2 linked regions of the Notamacropus eugenii genome follow. The protein of the gene in region 2 purifies or fractionates together with the protein of the main gene of each other region. This does not show direct contact. Links are inferred from orthologs where the notes say so. Each region holds a gene or a part of one and is shown on either strand. Other genes may lie near its edges.

What was found.
Region 1: the proteins of MTNR1A (region 2) and GNAI2 purify together in Homo sapiens (tandem affinity purification; 3 studies listed by BioGRID and IntAct, with this or other methods). This does not show direct contact. The link is inferred for Notamacropus eugenii from reciprocal best matches to the Homo sapiens genes MTNR1A and GNAI2.

The regions. Positions count from the first base shown.
Region 1 is NC_092872.1:5,239,152-5,249,221, forward strand, and holds the start of GNAI2 (guanine nucleotide-binding protein G(i) subunit alpha-2), read right to left. Parts: upstream 3,702-10,070; 5' UTR 3,561-3,701; coding exon 3,443-3,560; intron 1-3,442. UniProt on the Homo sapiens protein: Guanine nucleotide-binding proteins (G proteins) are involved as modulators or transducers in various transmembrane signaling systems.
Region 2 is NC_092878.1:105,770,136-105,780,301, reverse strand, and holds the start of MTNR1A (melatonin receptor type 1A), read left to right. Parts: upstream 1-6,383; 5' UTR 6,384-7,043; coding exon 7,044-7,296; intron 7,297-10,166.

The sequences.
Region 1 (10,070 bases), on a different chromosome or scaffold from region 2:
GAAACTCCAAGTAAGATTTCCAGTGCCAGCCCTTCAACAATTAAATCTTTCAGCAGGGTAAGGGTACTTCAGCCCACACAGGCAAACAGGCAGGTCTCATCCATCAAAGCTACCTTAAAAACCAAGCTACACATGACACTCTGGAGACATCAAAATCCAGATTAGGTTGCTGCTAGCCCGGAGGTCACGTCCAAATCTGAGGGCCAAGGCTTACAAAGACACTGGCTGCCAAGAAGACTGCCCCACACTCTGCTATCACATTCTCAGCTGCTTGTTTCCTCCTGCCAACCAGGACGCTGTTACTTTCTCAGAAACTTTGAGAACCCAAGAACCATAAAAGCATTTCTCTCTGCCCAGGACACACTGCTGGACCCAGGACAGCATGCTAAGATAGGAGTAAAATGCCGCTGAAAGAAGGGTGGGAGGCTGAGCTGAGCTCTGCAAGCCCTTCTCCTTCATTCAGTTGCCATCTTGAAAAAGTCTGCTCATCCCAAAGTCTCCCTGGTCAGTCATTCTCTCTGGGAGCCACAGGAGATGCCATGATCCTTAAACCCACAAGTCCAATGAATGGCTTTGCTGGAGGTGAGCATAAGGCTGTAATTACCCTAAAACTGATGCATGTGCCCAGAAATTACCACCTCTAATAGCACCTCTAATTAGTCATCATCCAGAAAAGAGGATGGGTGCTGCCAGCTTGCAGCTCTCCCATCTTCCCCTGTGAAAAACAGTCTCATTTTACAATCATCTGAAGGGGAGCCCAAAGCTGTTTCTGGCTTCAAACTGGAGGAATAAGATATCTCAAGACTTCAGCACTATTTACACTTGAACAGCTGCTATTTAAAAAAAAAATAGGAAGAAGAAAAAAAATCCAGCTTATTCTTGCTTAAAAAAATCTCAGAGGGGGCAGATCAGAAGGCAGCCCAGTCCAGCCTTGTGGGCTCAGAATCCCCAAGTTAGGTTTGGAACCTCTCCTCCTCCTAACCCAAGGCCCTGCTGTACTTATCCTCTCTGGTTCTCCAAAAGGAAGGCAAGGCAAGGGCCATGCCCATTTGGGGGTCTAAGGGAGAATGAAGTCATCTTGATGAAAACAGCACTCTGCTAGGGAAAGCTTCCAGCTGAAACGAGGACAATAATCCACCTGCCACTTAAAGCCTGAGGTGAGCCCATCACAAGAGGAAGGCCGAAGTGAAGGTGGAGAAGGCTCCCACAGCTTGGGACCAGCCCACACACGGCTTCCACCCACCTCTCAGAACACAAGCAGGCACAGGAAGCAGCTTCTAACTGTGCAGAGAGCTGTGCTGTGCCCTGCCCTGCCCTCCCGTAAACAGCTGGCCTCAGCCTTCCCCGGAGCACACACACAGCACTGGGTACATCCATTTCCTCCCCTCTCCACGTCAGAACATTTCATCAGTGATAAGGAACACCACACGAACCACTTCTCCGCTAGCCCAGGGAATACAAGGTGGGGCTACACGCCCCCCTACCCTCCGCGGGATCCTTGGATGGTTCCCCAATGCCCAAGGCCTAGGCCTCCCCGAGTCTGGGCAGTTTCCTCTCCACACTTCCCTAGAGTCAGATGCCATCTCCCAGGATCACAATACGTCCATCCCCACCAGGGCCCTTCAGGCAAACCCCAGAGGAGTGGCCTAGCTCGGCCCAGCCGCTTTGTTTTTCTCCCTGCGGGCTTCTTTTCGGGGGGTTGGGTGGGGAGGGGTGCCAGCCGGCACAGCACTGCCAGACTTCCCTAACTCTCGGGGAGAGAACGGCCTTGCCCCCGGCCCCAGGCCCCCTGGAGCCCCCGCCAGCCCTGGGCACTCGCTAGGACACCCGGGCCCCGCCGGGCTCGCTGTCTCCCCGGCCGCCCCGCCTGTCCCGCGGACTGAGAAAAGGGGAAGTCGAAGCTGCCTCCAGTTCCCGGCCCTCCCCACCCCCTTCCCCTTCCCCCAGCGCCACCATTTTCCCCAGGGGCTGGAAACAGAATTCAAAAAAAAAAAAAAAAGTCGAAATCCCCTTTTCCGAGCATCCAAACCAACTCTCCCGCCCCAGGCCCAGGCACTTAGGGGGGATCGGGGGCGAGAGCGTCCCCCCGGGGCGCCCGGAGGGGGTCCGGCCCCCATCCCCAGCTCAGAGGGAGGGGCGCGGCGGGGGGGGACACCTCGAAACTCCAAAGCTCAAAGTAAGCGGAACGAGGCCCTGGAGGCCGAGGCGGCCCCGCCCCCCCCACCCCCGCGGCCGGCAGCTTCCCCCCACCCCACCAAGAGGAACTTCTCTATTTCCCCCCCAACACACCCCGCCCTCCTCTCCAGTCCAGGGCGTTTCCGTAACTGGGGGGGGGGGGGGATGGGTCGGAAAAAGCCTTTGATTCTCGCAGCTTTCCCTCCACCCTCAGGGTTTGGGAAATCCACCCACACCTCAAGCCCAGGAGGCAGCCACCCGACTCTCCATCTCTGCCCCAGGGGCGGGGTGGGGTTGGGTGGGGAGATAGCGGAAAGACCGGGTCGAGCCGGGGACCGCAGGCGGCAAACTCGCAGGAGACTCCAGGGGGTACGGGGTGGGGGGGCGGAGAAAAGGGTGGTTAGGCTGGATGCGAGTGGTACTTGGGGGGGCAGTGTGACGTGGAAAGCCCGGCGGCGGGGGATGAGCGACTGACGGCAGGCAAAGGCAGGTGGGGGGGGCGTCCCCTAAGGGGGCACAGAGGGAGCCAGAGGAAGCCCAGGCTGATGAGGTGGGGGGGCAAGTTAAGAAGCACTCCCCTCAAAGGGAGCAGGAATTCCAAGAGGCCAGAAGAAGTGTGAAGATACGAGGGTCAGTTTGGGGAGCCTTGAGCAGGACGGGGGGTTCGGGAGGCGTAATGGGGAGGCCGGAGATCTGGGAGAACCTGCCTTGTAAAAATGGAACGTAGAGAGTGGGCAACGAAACTGGGGAGCAGCGGGAGAGGATGGGGGGTGAGCTTGTGAGTGCGGGGGGAAGCACTCGTTCGGAGGGCCTCGTAAGGCTTGCGGGTACTAGGGTTCAGGGGTGTAAATAGGAAGGCAAGGATTTGGGGCCAGAAATGAGTGCAAGAGTGTGGATGAGGGGGCCAGGGGCTCCGGCGCGGTTGGGGGTCAAGGTGGTGGGATACCGGGGGGTTGGGGTCCAAATAAGAGAGGGGCGCTGGGATTGGGGGGGCGGAGCTGGACGCCAGGGTTTGGGGATCTGGGGTGAGATGCACCCCAGGTACTAGGGCAGGTCGGGGATTTGGGGGGGTAACAGGCAGTGGGGGCGGAGATTCTGAGGGTGCGGGGGAACCCAAGAGTTTGGGGGCTCCAAGGCGGGGGCACGGCGGTTGGGGGGGCAGGAGGACAGCGGCCCTCGGACAGGCCCCCGAGGAGCCCGGAGGGTGGGGGGCGCCGCCGGGGTGGGGGGCCCAGGACCCATCCGGGGCTCAGGCCCACAGCCTCACCGAGGAGCAGCAGCTTCACCTCCCGCGCCGCCTTCTCGCCGTCCTCCCGCAGGTTCTTATCGATCATCTTGGAGCGCTCGGCCGCCGCCTTGTCCTCGGCGCTCACGGTGCACCCCATCCCGCCGGCCCGGCCCAGCCTGGCCCCGGCCCGGCCCCGTACCGTCCCGTCCCGCCTCCGCGCGCTCTGCCCGGACCCCGCGGACCGCGCTCGTGTGAGGAGCTCCCAGCGACTGCGGGCGGCGCCGGCTCCTCCGCAGCGGCCGCGACGGCGGGGCGGGGTGGGGCGGGACGGGAGCGGACCCGGAGGCGGGGATTGGCCCGGGGGCGGGTCCGGAGCGCGGGACGAGAGGCGGGGATTGGATGGAGGAATGAGTGAGGTAAAGGGGAGGCGGGGAAGGAACGGAAGGGGCGATCGCAGGTGGGGATTGGATTGGGGGCGGGCCAGAACGAAATCAGAGACGGGGATTGGGGGGGAGGCGGGATCCGAGGCGGGGAATGGTCGGGGTGGGTCTGTGGGCGGAGCTAGAACGGGTGGGGCGGCAGCGCGGGACCCGGGATTGGGGCAGACTTAATCCTTAGCTGTGAAATGGGGGTGGGGGGAGTCCCCGCTCTCGGAGCCTGGGCTGGGGGCGTGGTTTAATGTAATAATAATAATAATTAGCGTTCACTTGTCACTTTGTATCTTCTTCTCCCCCCCCCCCCCCACTCCGAGGTTGGTAGAGCTGGCTGCTCTCTTTAGAAGGAAACTGAACCGCAGCACGTGGTTCCACGTCCCCGGCTTTTTCCTATTCTAAAATATGCTTTAATAGACTAAAGTATAGCCTAAGTTCACGATTTTCCGCAGAAGGTTTAGATAGATAGATAGATTAGATAGATAGGTAGATAGATAGATAGATAGACAGACAGATAGAGATAGATAGGTAGGTAGGTAGATAGATACATAGATAGATACATAGGTAGATAGATAGGTAGATAGATAGATAGACAGACAGATAGAGATAGATAGGTAGGTAGGTAGATAGATACATAGATAGATACATAGGTAGATAGGTAGGTAGGTATATAGATAGATATATATCACTTTAAGGTCCATAAAACACTTTCCTTTGAATCCTCTCCACAACCTTGGGAGGTAGGCTATCTCCATTTTACAGCTGAGGAAACTGAGGCAGGCAAAGGTTAAGGGTCATTCACAAGAGCATTCAAGAAATAGCCTGACAAATCCACTTATAGCCAAGTGTGGGTGTCTGGTCGGATAGCTTAGAGTGTTGGGAAGTAGGGTTGTGTGAGGGAAGAAAGAAGGGGTGAGTTCTTGGGTTCCCTGAGGTGATAAAGAGCTCCAGACTGGGAGCCGAGACACCTGGCTTCCCCAACCAGGGTGACCTCAGGCAGAGATGCCCTCTGTTTAGAATAAAGTTCCTCTTGAATCTGAGGTTGTGAACTCCTTGAGGGTGGGGACCCTGTTGGGGCAAGTCACTGAAGCTCTGCCTGCCTCAGCTTCCTCAACTGTAAAATGGAGATCGTCGTATCACCTGCCTTCCAGGGTTATGGAAAAGCTTCAATGTAAAGTGATTTGTGGACCTCGGAGTGATATATTTATGTATAAATGTGGATATATTTATGTATAAATATGGATATGTTTACATATAAAGTGATAGATAAATATGAGCATATTTATATATAAAGTGATATATAAAATGGATATATTTATATATACAGTGATTTGTAAATATGAATATATTTATGTCTAAAATTATATATATGTGTGTGTGTGTGTGTGTGTGTGTGTGTGTGTGTATTATGCCTGACTGGGAGAACTGTAAGAGGAGAAGCTTAGCCCTCAGCTAACCATGGAGTTCACAATGATATCTGAGGAGGAAGGTTCCAAATTAAAAACTAGAGGCCAGGGGTGATTTAAAAAAAAAAAATTAACTCTAGGCTGGAAGTACAAGGATGAAAAAATTCCCTCAGTAGGGTTTACACAATCATCTAGGAAAATTAGGGGGGAAAGAACATTTTTCAGCTTGGAGGGGACCAACGAAGGCACCTAAACTGGACTTTGAGAAACAAGAATGGCTTTAGTGGGCTCAGATGGAAGGGTTGAGGGCCTCAGGATCTCTTGGAGCCCAGATAACGAAGGGTAGTGGTCATGGAAGACTTCCTATTGGACTTAAGGTGATTGAGGTCTCCAAGAATTTATATAGACAGGGAGGAAGGGGAGAGGGGATAACAGCTGGGCAAGTGGGACTCGTGGAAGGTGTCAAGGTCAATATAAATTTTAATAATAACTTTTTATACTTCAAAGACTCAGTCGGATTTGTGACCTCACTGATGTGGAAATTCCCTCCAATGATTCGGATTGCAGCCCATCTATACTTGCCTATGCCTAGGTGACCCTTGTACATGTTCTCCCTAGAGTTCGACACAGAGGAACCATCACCCACAGTGATCCAAACGTCTTTCTAGAGTCCTCTTAATGGCACAAAAATATGTTGGAAGCCCTAAGACTGCCGGTCAGTTTTCCCTCTCAGCCTGATTGCACCATTTTGGTCACATTTTCTGCTGTTTCTCCTTTGTAATAATGCCTTGTTTGTAATGTCAGTCAGTCAACAAGCATTTATTAAGTTAGGAGAATTAAGTTAAGAATTAAGCCTGACTGGCCTAGGCCCATCTCCAAAACAGAGATCTCAGTAGGGGAAGAAGATAAGAATTTATTAAAGATCTCCTATATGTCATATATTATATATCTATTATATGTGCTAAGCACTTTACCAATAATATCTCAGATCCTCACAACAACCCTGGTAGGTAGGTGCTATTATTATCCCCATTTGACAGCTGAGAAAACTGAGGCAGACAAGGGTTAAGTGGTTTGCCAGGTCACACAGCCCATGTCTGGGGGTTCCTGACTTCAGGTCTGGAATTCCATCCACCATACCACATAAACTGCGGGAATGGGAGAAGGGGACCAGCATGGGGGAGGAATATTCTAGGGTAGGAAGATCCTGCAGGCCAGACTGGATGGGAATAAAGGATAAGAAAACTGGAAATGTAGGAAGGGGCCAGGTTGTAAAGGTCTTTGAAGGCCAAAAAAGAGGATTTTATTTGATCCCATCAGTCATGGGGGTGGGGTGCAGCTAAGTGGCACAGTAGATAGAGTGCCAGACCTGGAGTCAAGAAACTGGCCTCAGATTCTTTCTAGCTGTGTCACCCTGGGCAAATCACTTATCCCTCTTTGCCTCAGTTTCCTCATCTGTAAAAATGAGTTGGAGAAGGAAATAGCAAAACATCCCAGTATCTTTGCCAAGAAAACCCTGAAGGAGATCTCAAGTCAGACACAACTGAAAACACCTGAACATCAACCAGTGGATTTCTGGGGCCCAAACTATTTTCTACTTTCAATATGTGTCACACATATGAATGAACTCTATAGGCTGTTCATCCAGCTGTATATCATAGTCTAGCCTCTAGGCATTCTTTTAAAATGTTCTGTTGACTTCCTTCCCTCCCTCCCTCTTTCTTCTTTCTTTCCTTCCTTTCCTTCATCTTTCTTTCTCTCTTCCTTCCTTCTTTCTTTCTTTCTAACAACTGTCATTTATCAATGACCTTGCCCCCCACCCTCACTCAATAGAAACTTCTATTGTAACCAATACATATAGTCAAGCAAAATAAACTAAAACATGGGCTGCATATATCTCATTCCACACCTGTTGTCCACAACCTACCACTCTGCCAAGGACAATAGACATTATTCACCCACTTTTTTTTTTAACCCTAAGCTATTTTGGGTGATCACTGATCTCATTTAAGCCCCTGCAATACTCCACAATCAGTCACACCTGAAGCACCTGACCCTCTATAGGGAATCCCTCTTCAGTTTGGATTCTGGCCCAGACAGCCTTCATGACAGTGACCAACACCTTTGGCAAGAATGTCTCCTTATTTTGTGCCTCACTTCATATTATGAATGAAAGGGTCTTTGAACAAGCTTGTTATAGCTTTGCCCCCATCCCTGGCACATAGTAAATGTTTAATAAGTGTTTGATCTATTTATTGATAGCTTTTAAAAACAGCATTTTATTCCCTATATCAAACTTTCATATTGATAAGTGATAGACAGTTGGTTCTTATACTATAAACATCTTCCAGTTAATTGTGTGATGGTAAAATTGTGTTCAGTGCAGGCAGGTGGTGCAATGGTCAGAGTTTTGGGTCGGGAGTCAGGAAAACCTGAGTTCAAATCTAACCTCTGACACTTATTAGCTGGGTGACCCTGGGCAAGTTACTTAACCTGTTTGCCTGCGTTTCCTCATCTGTAAATGAGCTGGAGAAGAAATGGCAAAGAAGAAAACCCCTAAATGGGGTCACCAAGAGTCAGACACAACTGAAGCAACTGAACACCGGTAACGACAACATCAGAGCTGTGTTCTCGTATGGAATATCACTCATGAAGCCCTGCCTGCCACTTTCTAACATCCTTATCAAGGATGTGCTTAATGTGTGCAAAGATTATTTTTGTAAAAATTGTATGTGATCAATCAACCAAAAGGGCAACTCAGTGTTACAGTGGATAGAGTGCTGGACTTGGAGTCAGGAAGACTCATCTTCCTGAGTTCAAATCTGGCCTCAGACACTAACTAGCTTTGTGACCCTGGGTAAGTCATTTAATGCTGTTTGCCTCAGTTTCCCCATCTGCAAAATGAGCTGGAGAAGAAATGGCAAACCATTTCAGTATCTTTGCCAGGAAAACCCCAAAGAGGGTCATGAAGAGTTGGTGTAATATTAAGGGAATTTGAAGATCTTCCCTGACCCTTAATAGGCCCATGTGACTTGCTTTGAGCTTTGGCCCAGCCCACAGCTTGAGTCACATGAAGCCCATGGTGGTTGGAGCTTGCCAAATGGTGGAGCTAAGAGAGACTAAGGCAGAGTTGAGGCAGAGCAGCTAGTGTAAGTGAGAGAGGGAGGAATTTTGCCTACGAGCTTGTTTGTGGAGAAGCCTAAGGGAGGGAAGACTTGGGGATGTCAACGTTCCCTCTGTTAGTGATATGTATAAACTGCTTTGTTACCATGGTGGAATTGACTTTCTGGTATCTGAATAAATATTTTGGTTTTGTCTTTGAAGAAGAGAGTTTATATTTTGTAAATTTATCCTGGAAATATGCCTGCATATCCATAGTGGCTGCTGTGAATATCGCCTTGGCATTCAGTTGGGCATGACTGAAATGAGTCAGCAGCAGCAGCGACCAAGTAGACTAGATCACTGGAGCATGGAATGCATGGAGCAAAGTGATATGTAAGAAGATGGGAAAATAGGCGTATGCGTGGGTGATCATTGTTATTTCCTTATTTTGTTTTTTTTGGGTTTTTTTGCTAGTGATAAAGTCTGAATTTTTTTTCTACAGCTGTGGTATTTTCTCCTTCTTCAGTCACCTGACTAATTAATATCACTGCTCTCGAAACTCTACTGCCTGCAGCACTGACCTCCTCTAATTATATCTGGTCTTGTCCAGCTGCTTTTCTTACCTTTGTTTTTTGGGATTTTTTGTTTGTTTGTTTTTTTGGTATCATTTCTCCTTTCTTTATAAGCACATCCTGGACTGAGTCCAAATGTGGCAACTCCCCCACTCTTAAGGTAAAAGGAATTTGTTTTGAAAATCTTTTCAGATCTTTTCCAGCGTGTTTGTTGTTGATTTCCAGTTTCATCCTTAAATGTTCTCTGCATAACTTTGCCAAACTTTCTTTAACGGATTCTTCTTTCCACTGTTTCTTTTCAGGGATAATATTACTCATTGTCTCCTACCATCTTTCTCCATAACATTTTATATTCTAAGTCAATGTTGCCCTTGACTTTTGGACAAGTCAACAATGAATGTGGTTTGGGAACTCTTTTGGTCTAATGAAAATTGATTTACATTGGTTAAGTGTCCCTGTGAATACATTGTTATCTCTGTTAATGTCTTTTCGTACATCCATTTCCAGTGTTCCTGGGTCAATAGCTTATTTAAGCAGGTCAGTTTGGAGTTGTTTTGAAGATAGACCATGTTATTGTTTTCATTTTTAATCTATCTTTTAGCTTGAAATTAATTTTGATCTTTGCTCTAACAACTTGGTGGTCTGACTATACAATGAAGTGACTCCTGTGTCAGAGCAATTTTCTCTCTGTTAAACTACAATCAATTTTATTATTTGGGATGCTGTTTGATGTTAATCATGTTCATAATGACCTTGTAAATCTGTTTATGGGCAAGAGGCTTCTGTGTAGTTGGCAAATCTTTGACCTCTCTCATTCCTTACTCATCAACCACATTTTCCAACATGCATTTCATCATCTTTACTTATGCCTACTTTTGCATCAGTTACCCAAAGTATTTATCAACATATATCAAAATATATGTTGATTTAATTTGTAGGGTTTTATTGAGTTCTTCATAGAAATTCCCTACTTCCTAATCCTCTAATATAGATGTTGGTACATAACCAATTATTTTCATGGTGGCCATTTTGCAAATACTTCTTATGAGCTATACCACAATACGAGATGACCAGATGTCCCATGGAATGATGTTTCTTTTTGCCTTTAGACACACAATAAAACTAACTTTGTCATTTCCTTTATTTGCTTCTTCTA
Region 2 (10,166 bases):
TTTGATTTTCAACATTCATTTCCACAAGATTTTGAGTTCCAAATTTCCCCCATCTCTCCCCTCCACTCACCCCAAGACAGCATGAATTCTGATTATCCCTTCCCCCAATTTGTCCTCCCTTCTATCACACCCCTCCCTTCTCTTATTCCCATCCCCTCAATTTTCTTGGAGGACAAGATTGATTTCTATACCCCATTGCCTGTATATCTTATTTCCCAGTTGCATATAAAAACAATTTTTTACTTTTGTTTTTAAAATTTTGAATTCCAACTTCTCTCCCTTCCTCCCTCCCCACCCATCCCCACTGAGAAGGCAAGCAATTTGATATATGTTATACATGTATAGTTATGCAAAATACTTCCATAAAAATCATGTTGTGGAAGACTGCCTATATTTTCCCCCATCCTATCCTGCCCCCCATTTATCATATTCTCTCTTTTGAGCCTATCCCTTCTCAAAAGAAAGTATTTACTTCTAATTACACACTCTGCCCATTTGCCCTCCCTTCTATCATCCCCTCATTCCCCACCCCACTTATCCCCTTTCTCCCCTACTTTCCTGTAGTGTAAGATGGAGTTTTATAGCAAATTGTGTATGCATGTTATTCCCTCCTTAAGCCAAATGTGATGAAAGTAAGGTTCACTTTTTCCCTCTCACCTCCCCTCTCTTCCCTTCCATTGAAAAAGCTTTTTTTTTGCCTCTTTTATGCGAGAGAAAATTTGGCCCATTCTATTTTTCTCTTTCTCCTCCCAATTTACTCCTCTCACCTCTTAATTTTAATTTTTTTAGATATCATCCCTTCCTATTCAACTTACCCTGTGCCCTCTGTCTATATGTGTATAATCCCTCCAACTACTCTAGTACTGAGAAAAGTCTCAAGAGCTATAAATATTATCTTTCCATGTAGGAATGTAAACAATTCAAGTTTAGTAAGTCCCTTATGATTTTTCTTTCCTGTTTACTTTTTCATGCTTCTCTTAATTCTGTGTTTCAAAGTTAAATTTTCTATTCAGCTCTGGTCTTTTCATCAAGAATGCTTGAAAATCCTCTATTTCTTTGAACGACCATTTTCCCCCTAAAGTATTATACTCAGTTTTGCTGGGTAGGTGATTCTTGGTTTTAAACCTAGTTCCTTTGACTTCTGGAATATCCTATTCCAAGGCCTTCAATCCCTTAATGTAGAAGCTGCTAAATCTTCTGTAATCCTGATTGTATTTCCACAGTACTCTAATTGCTTCTTTCTGGCTGCTTGCAATATTTTCTCCTTGACCTGAGAGCTCTGGAACTTGGCTACAATATTCCTAGGAGCTTTCCTTTTGGGATCTCTTTTAGGAGACAATTGGTGGATTCTTTCAATATTTATTTTGCCCTCTGGTTCTAGAATATCAGGGCAGTTTTCCTTGATAATTTCATGAAAGATGATGTCTAGATTCTTTTTTTGATCATGGCTTTCAGGTAGTCCCATGATTTTTCAATTGTCTCTCCTGAATCTATTTTGCAGGTCAGTTGTTTTTCCAATGAGATATTTCAAATTGTCTGCTATTTTTTCATTCCTTTGGTTTTGTTTTATCATTTCTTGATTTTTTTATAAAGTCATTAGCTTCCATCTGCTCTTTTCTAATCTTTAAGGAATTATTTTCTTCAGTGAGCTTTTGGATCTCCTTTTCCATCTGGCCAAATCTGCTTTTTTAGGGCACTCTTCTCTTTATTGGCTTGTTGGATCTCTTTTGTCATTTGGGTTAGTCTATTTTTTACAGTGTTATTTTCTTCAGTATTTTTTGGGTCTCCTTTGGTAAACAGTTGACACGTTTCATGATTTTCTTGCATCACTCTCATTTCTCTTCCCAATTTTTGCCCTACTTCTCTGACTTGATTTTCAAAATCCTTTTTAAGCTCTTCCATGGCCTGAAACCAATTCATATTTTTCTTGGAGGATTTGGATGGAAGAGCTTTGACTTTGTTGTCTTCTGTTTGCATGTTTTGGTCTTCCTTGTCACCAAAGTAAGATTCTATAATCTGATTCTTTTTTTGGTTTTTGCTCATTTCCCCAGGCATTTGTTTGACTTTTGAGCTCTTTGTCAAGGTAGATCTCTGTTTCCAGTGGGGGTAGGGGGGTGTACCATCAGCTACTTGATTCCCTCCATAATCTGTGGCCTAGAGCTCCAGAAAGAGTCACTGTCTTTGCCTCTGCTGCTGCTGTGACTGCCACAAGTTTCTCCTCCCCATTCCCCCTCTGCCATTCTGGTGCTGGGGCCAAACCACTCCACTTTCACATGCTGGTGCCATAGACTTTTTCCACTGACCTTCCAATTTGTCCTCAATAATCCTACCCCCAACCCCAGTCTTAGGAATTAGAATCAAATATTAAGATGCGGAAGCAAGTAGATTGTGGTAGCTAAGTATCAGTATTAGGTGTTATGGCTGAAAAATCTTAGTTTTGCCCATGATCCTATACTGTCAGTATTGATACTGTATATGGGGGAAAAACAAACTTTGTACATTGCTTATAGCTCTTGTTTTGAGAGGATTAGGGATGAGGGGCATAGGGAAAGGTGGCATATGAATGAAAGATAAGTTGCTTGTAGTTATTGCTGGGGCAGCTCAGTGGTACAGTAGAGAGCACAGTAGGGCTAGAATTAGGAAGACTCCTCTTCCTGAATTCAAATTGATCTTCAGACATGTACTAGTTGTGTGACCCTTGGCAAGTCACTTCAAAGGAAATGGCAAATCACTCCAGTTTCTTTTCTAAGAAAACTCCATGGACAGTAGACAAAGTCCTTGGGGTCAGGTAGAATTGGACACAACTGAGTGATTGAACAAGAACAATTTATTGCCAGGTGCTCTTAAGTCATTAATGACCTATAATAATGTCAGTTGTGGGAACTCCAACTAACAGTCTTAGAGAGTTACCTAAAGTGCAGGAAGATTAAAGGACTTGCCCAGGGTCATACAGTAAGTATTTGAGGCTGCATGTAAACTTAGGTCTTCACTGTATTTTTGTGCTCTAGCCACTGGACCACAACTCAACTCAACTCAGTTCAGCAAACAGTTATTATGCAGGCTTTCTTCATGTGAAATACAATACTCTACATATTCAAATTCACTAGAAAGATTAATTTTGTTTGTTTAGAGAAAGGGTAGATGGCAAAAGGTATATGCAAGTGTGTATGCATATATGTGCATGTTATATACGATTTATTAACTCATTTTGTGGAGCAGTGGATAGAGTAGTAGACCTGAAGTCAGAAAGACTTGACTTTAAATCCAGCCTTAGTCATTTACTAGATGTGCGACCCTGGGCAAGTCACTTTACCTGTGACTGCCTCCTCAATTTTGAGAATCAAATGATATAATATTTGTAACTGGAACATAGTAGGTGCTTAGCAAATGCTTTTTCCCTTCTCTTATTTATTGTTCATTTTCTCTGTTAACAAATTCCTATCTAGACTGAGGAGGTATTACACCCCTGACCTCTTCACTAAGTGGTCCCTCTTAGCTGTGGTCCCACTCATGCATGCCAATCACTTTCAGTCCCCAAAAAGTCTGACTGCAAGGATTTGGCTGCTTGTCTAATATTCTTTGGCTCTTTACATTCCCTTGGAAAAAATTACATCTTAGATTTGACTTATATCTAGGGTCTTCCCAGAGGAAAGATTTATCTATTGTAAAACATGAATCAGGTAAGAGATATCTATTTCCTGCATGCAGAAGTAATGCTTTACCCAGCGGCTCTCAAAAACTTTCCCTGCCAGAAGGATACAAGAGAATACAGCTATTTCTAACTATTCTTATATTTTGTGGAGTGTTTAAGACTTAAACGTCAGAATTTGGAGGACCACCAAATGGCCATTGTTACATTTCACCTAAGCTCTGCACTGTACAAATAACTGTCCAGGTCCATGTTTTTTGGCAAGCCACACCAGGGTTTGTGGCTCCTCTGACTAATGGTTATCATAAAAAATAAGTGCTTGAATTATTGCTGGGGACTTCTGAAGTGAAGTCAAAATCAAATGAAGACAACTCAGGATCCCCTGATATCTTGAACTTACAAGGTCACTTCCAAGTCTGGACTACCTCAAGATTGATGTTTACTTATCTCGGCAAAGAAACATAGCACAAAATGTAGCCAAAGAGCAAAGCTGATCCCTCCCCCTTTTCCCCTCTGTCTTCTCTCTACTCCACTGCTGTGACTGCTACAGGCAACTCCAGGGGTTTGTTATTCCAAAAGCACCCAACTGTTGAGTGAGCATAAAGGATCACAGGAAGCAGACAGGGTAGTTTTTCACAATCCCTGTTACATTATCTTTCTCCATTCTAGTATGGAGTGGGAGTTAGAACTTAGTATTGAAGGCTATAGCTTAGCAAACCCTACTGGGAGGCTACTTGTTTAGAAACTTCATTCAAGTTATTGTTATAAGTAATTATTATAAGGTCTTAGCAAACAAGTATATATTGGGTGTTGCACCCTTCTCCCTGCAGAAGAAAATGAAAAATGCTTCAGTGTTCACAAATATGTGAAGAAAAATAATAATAACTGAATTTGTATAGCTTTAAGGTTTGCAGAGTACTTTGCATATATTGTCTCATTTAACTCACACAAGGAGTCTGTGAGGTAAGTGCCATAGCCAGGGCTACATGCTTTCCACAACATTCTTGAGTGCAGCCAAACCAGAATGAAATGCATTTGGAAAATCTTAAACAAGATAAGAAAGAAAATACCATGAAACATAAATAATATTAAAGTTTAAAACTTAGTCAACATGCAGTCTATAGGGATCCTTATGTATGCATATGCCCTGCTCCTATTTGAGTTTGAAAGTAATAAAATGCAGGTCTTCTAAGTTCAAAGTCTAGAAATCTATCCATGAGGTCAATCAAATGTATATATATTTAAAACATATGTTTGCACAGGCATGTTTTTAAGAGAGGCAGCTAGATGACTCAGAGGATGGAGCACTGAATCTGGAATCAGGAAGACCTAAGTTTGAATATTGGCTCAAAAATGTTACTATTAATTGCTAGGATTTATATAGTGCCTACTATGTGCCAGGAACTTTACAAATACTATAATTTTCTATCATCACAACAACTGTGGCAGGCAGATGCCAATATTATCCCCATTTTCCAGTTTAAGAAACTGAGGCTAAGTGACTTGCTGGGGGTGACACAGGTAGTAATAGTGTGAGGCCAGATCTGAACTTGGATGATCATGACCCAAGCCCTCTATCTTGTGTCACCCAGTTTGGTTAGCTGGGTGACCCTGGGAGAGTCATTCAACATCTCTTTGCCTCAGTTCTCTCATCTATGAAACGGGATAATAATCATCATGGCACATACTCTCCAGGGCTGTGAAGATAAAATGGGATCATATTTGTAAAGTACTCTGATAGCCATTATTATTAAAAAATAATAACCAGCATTGAAATGCTAGTCATTATTATTATCTTAGCATGAATATGACCCTTTAAAGTTGGCAAAACACAAATAATTATCTCACTTGATCCTCACAACATGCTGTTAACATTCAGTTTCACAGATGATGAAATTGGAGGCAAGCAAAGTTAAATAACTTGCCCAGGGTCACACAGACAGAGATCACATTTGAGCCCAGGTCTCCCTGGACTCAGGGATGTGCCAATAAAGAAGGTGACAAGAAAAATCTTTTAATGATTCCTCTCCCCTCCATGTCTGATCTCTTAAGATTACATGCCAGCAATTTTTTCATGGGTAAGGGGAGAGGCAGGAACTCATAGGATCAGATCTGGAAGGGATGTCACCTTCAGTGCCATCCATTCCAAATTTCTCATTTTTGAGGTGTGTGTGTGTGTGTGTGTGTGTGTGTGTGTGTGTGTGTGTGTGTGTGAGAGAGAGAGAGAGAGAGAGAGAGAGAGAGAGAGAGAGAGAGAGAGAGAGAGAGAGAGAGAGAGAGAGAGAGCGGGAAGGAGTGGGAAAGGCAGACAACTGGTGCCCATGGAGGTAAAAGCACTCGCTTTACATCACATAGGTAGGAACAGGCAGAACTAGAACCCAGAACCTCTAACTCCAAAGCCTGCACTCTTTCCACTGTGCCGCTGTATTTCTCTAGGTTTAGTTAAGAATTTTAGCAGGTAGCCTCGCTTCCTGGTCATGCACTGCGGGGATAAAGACGAGTCAGCGGCCCTTGACAGCAAGAATACCCTGGGATAAATAGGATAAAAAAACAAACAAAAAGAAAGCTGTTTGAAGCGAGCTCTCCAGTAAGTCCCACGTCCTTCCCCTTGTTTGCTCTTGCTGGTGATGGAGATCGCCGCTATGGGGCGCTGATGGTACACAGCACCCGAGGGAGGTCCCCAGTTCCCCTGAAGCGCTAGGACCAGGTCATTAACGCTAGATGTCACCTGGAGCAAGCGGGGGGCGAGGAGACCGGGAGTGAGACGCTATAAAAAGAGACAGAGTCGGGCAGTTGTGCACTTCGGGGGCACTTGCCTAGAGTTGGAGGGCTGGAACAGCCAGGAGACTGGGGGAGGAGAAAGGGTACCCAGAGGGGTACTGCAGTTTCCGTCCCTAAGGAGGAGAAAGAACCTCGAAGACCAGGAGAGAGAACCCAGAAGAGGTGCAGGTTAAGCCTCAGAAGAGGAGGGAGACTCAGGGGATGAGAAAGGAGACCCCAGAGGGGAGGGTGCAACTTCAGCTCCTAAGGGGAAAGAAGCCGGACACCCCAAGGAGAAGGGGGATCTCAGAAAGGGCTCAGCTTCAGAACCCAAGAAGGAGGGGGGTAGATCCTGAGAGAGAAGGGGTGCAGCTTCAGCCGTAGAAGAGGAGGAGGGGGACCTCGGGGAGGAGGAAGGGAACTGCAGAAGGGGGTGCAACTTCAGCTCCTAAGGAGAAAGAAGAGGTAGGAGAGGGACCCCAGAGGGGGTCCAGATTTAATTTCTGCTTCGTCTTAACCTAGAGTGCAACAAGCGATCCATCCTCACCCCCATTCCCTCTCCGTACTGGGTATTTGCTTAGTGGAGGAGTAGGAAAAATCTGAAAGTTGTCCGGGGGTTCCCAAGCCCAGAGCGATGGAGACGCAGGGGCTTGAGGTAGGGGGAGACCCTGCCATTTTATCTCAGGACAAGAAAATGATGGACAATAGCAGTAGGTTGCTTAACTACTCCTGGCAGGATCCTGGCCTGGCCGAGAGCACCGTGAAACGACCCACATGGGTACCTTTTACTCTCGCGACCATCCTCATCTTTACTATTGTAGTGGACATCTTGGGCAACATCCTGGTCATCCTTTCGGTATATCGGAACAGGAAGCTGAGGAATGCAGGTAAAAATGACTCTTGGGAGCCACGTGGGGAATGGGAAAAGAAACTCAGAAAAAAGGGGTGACAAGAAGTCGAGGTGAAAAAGGGGGGAGATGATACCCGGGAGAGGCAACTAAAGTCTTCCTGTTCCAGTCCTAGACTTCTTTCCCTCTGAACTCTCTCTCAGTAATGAATCAAACTCTACCCTCCCTGCATTTTCTCTCCCCAACTTCTTTTGGATCAGAACAAAACTTAGAGACACATCTTTTCCCTCTTGGTTATCTGTCTATCTATCATCTATCTATCTTCTATCATCCGTCTATCTATCTTCTATCACTCTATCTATCTATCTATCTATCTATCTATCTATCTATCTATCTATCTATCTATCTATCTATCTATCATCTATCTTCTATCTGCCTATATATCTATCATCTATCCAACTCTGTCTCATTTATTTATTTTGCCTGAAGACTTTCCATAAGAGTTCATAGATTTTAGTAGTAAGCATTCTTTTCTTTATAGTGTCCAACCTAAAATGCTCTTTTGAAAGCAATATATAGTCTTCAGATTACCAAAAAAAATTACCATTCAGTTTTGCTAAGGTTGCTTTCTATTTTCTGAAAGAAAATTTAAAATGCAACTTTTGTTTCAAGTTGTAGAGTTCATTAGACTATTAGATACACATCTCAGTAGGTTCCTAAAATCAACTTACTTTACACCAGGAGTTTTTAACCTCTTTTGGAGTATCATGGACACCTTTGGCAATCTGATGAAACCACTGCATCTCTTCCCTTAATGTTTTTAAATGAATAAAAATTTATACGATTGCAAAGTAAACCAGTTATATTACTTATCAAGTCATTTTTAATTAAAGTTTATGAATCTCAAGTTAAGAGCCCTTACTCTAATCTATTTCCACAATTTGAGTTCTTTATTTTAGTCATTTGTCTTGAAATATGTGTTTAGAGCTGTATATGATGTTTATATATAAATATAAGAAATATAAGATATTTAGATATCTTAACTATTAATATGAGAGAAAATGCAGCAGATATTATGGTGACCAGAAATTCTGTCTTCTTTATTTCCACGTCTTCTCCCAGTGCTTAACAAATATTCACTGAATAAATCAATGGATGAATGAATGAACTATAAAAATCCTCAGAATTCATTCATGACATCATGGATATGGCCAATTAAGTATCAGTTTCTTTTTGGTTTATTCTTTTGAAACAGTCATGGTTGTGTCAAGGTAGACATTTTTATGTTGGGTTTAAGAATAATTTTGTACTTGAGTTATAGCTGCTTTTTCAGTGAGCAACTGAGGATAAATGGTTTATTTCAGGTGAGTTTTTGCAAACTCTTCAACAGCTGGAGAAAATTAAGTATTTCAGCATCATATTTTGGCATTGTACACTGATGCAGTGTTTGCCCATTTGTGAAAGAATCATCCAAATGATTTATACACCTACAAAGGAAATTGACATGGGAGATGGGACTAGTAAGCAGGCACATAAGGGGATTGCTTCATGCATGATGAGGCACTTGGGTCGAGCCTTGAAGGAAGATAAAGTTTCTGAGAGGGAGAGTTGAAAAAGCATAGACTGCATTATAATTATAAGGGAAAGGTCTATGTGAGTTCACAGCAGTGAGTGATAGAGTATTAAGTCAGGGGAAATGATTAGTAATGTAATACAACTGTTACCTACAGTTTTTTTATTCAATGTACATGGAATCTTTTTTGATATGGATGATTTCTATTTGCATAGATTAGGGGTGGGGAACCTGCTGCCTCAAAGCCACAAGTGGCCTTTTAGGTCCTCAAGAGCAGGCCTTTGGCTGAATCCAAACTGCTTGATAAAATAATTATAAAAACTGTGAAGTTGAATTCTTGGGTACATAAAGGGTCACATGTGTTCCCCGCCTCTGGTGTAGATGACAGCTTCAAGACATCTCATAATATACAGTCCTTTTCTATGTCTTCCCATGTTCCCCCCACCGCAGGAAATCTACCCAGTTTGAAAAAGAGAAAACCAACTATACTCTTTTAACTGGGTATCAATGTGATTTTAAACTCCTTGCAGATAGGAATGATTTATCACACTAGGGAAAGATTCCTCATGAGCACCAAATAAATACTTATGCAATATTCTTGGGAGTTCATGGATTTCAACAGATTACAAAAGGGATCCATGACACACAAAAATGTTAACAACCTCTGGCCTAGAGATTAAGTGTCCAGAAACAATATCAGTATGTGCCAGAGACAAGAGTCTAGCCCTAGACTTCCTAGTTCTAAGACAAGCTTTCTATCCACTACACCACACTGCCTCAGGTACATGACCGCATGGAAAATTGTAACTTAAAAAAAAGCTTTAACTGTGTCCATCCAACTTTAATTACAATTTATTCAGGAGCTTCATGATAAATATTTTATAAATTACAATAATGCTGCTACTGAGGAAGAATATTAAATGGCATTTTGATAAGAAAAGATAACAGACATACACGTGTAGTATTGCCTTGCTGGGATTTTGCCTATAAATATCCCACTGGTGTTTTCTGGAATGATCATTTTTAATGCTAGCCACAATAAAAAAGACCTCTGCACCTGGAGGACAGTTTGTAATATGGTTCTTAGACAGATGTAGTTATTTTATGTGACTCACCAAAGACTATTATGTAAAGCCTTATTGCCTTTCATTCTCTTTATTCCTGCTGGATTTATTGTGTTGACAATATAGATGGTTGGCTTGGGATAGAGAAAAAAGAGGAAAACCTCTAAGAAATCTGACTTTTTTTTCCTTTGGAGACATGAGGTAAGTCATTTTACTTTTAAAAGAATTGTTTAGTTCATTTGTTCCTGAAATTCTACTGAAGGATCAAGTTG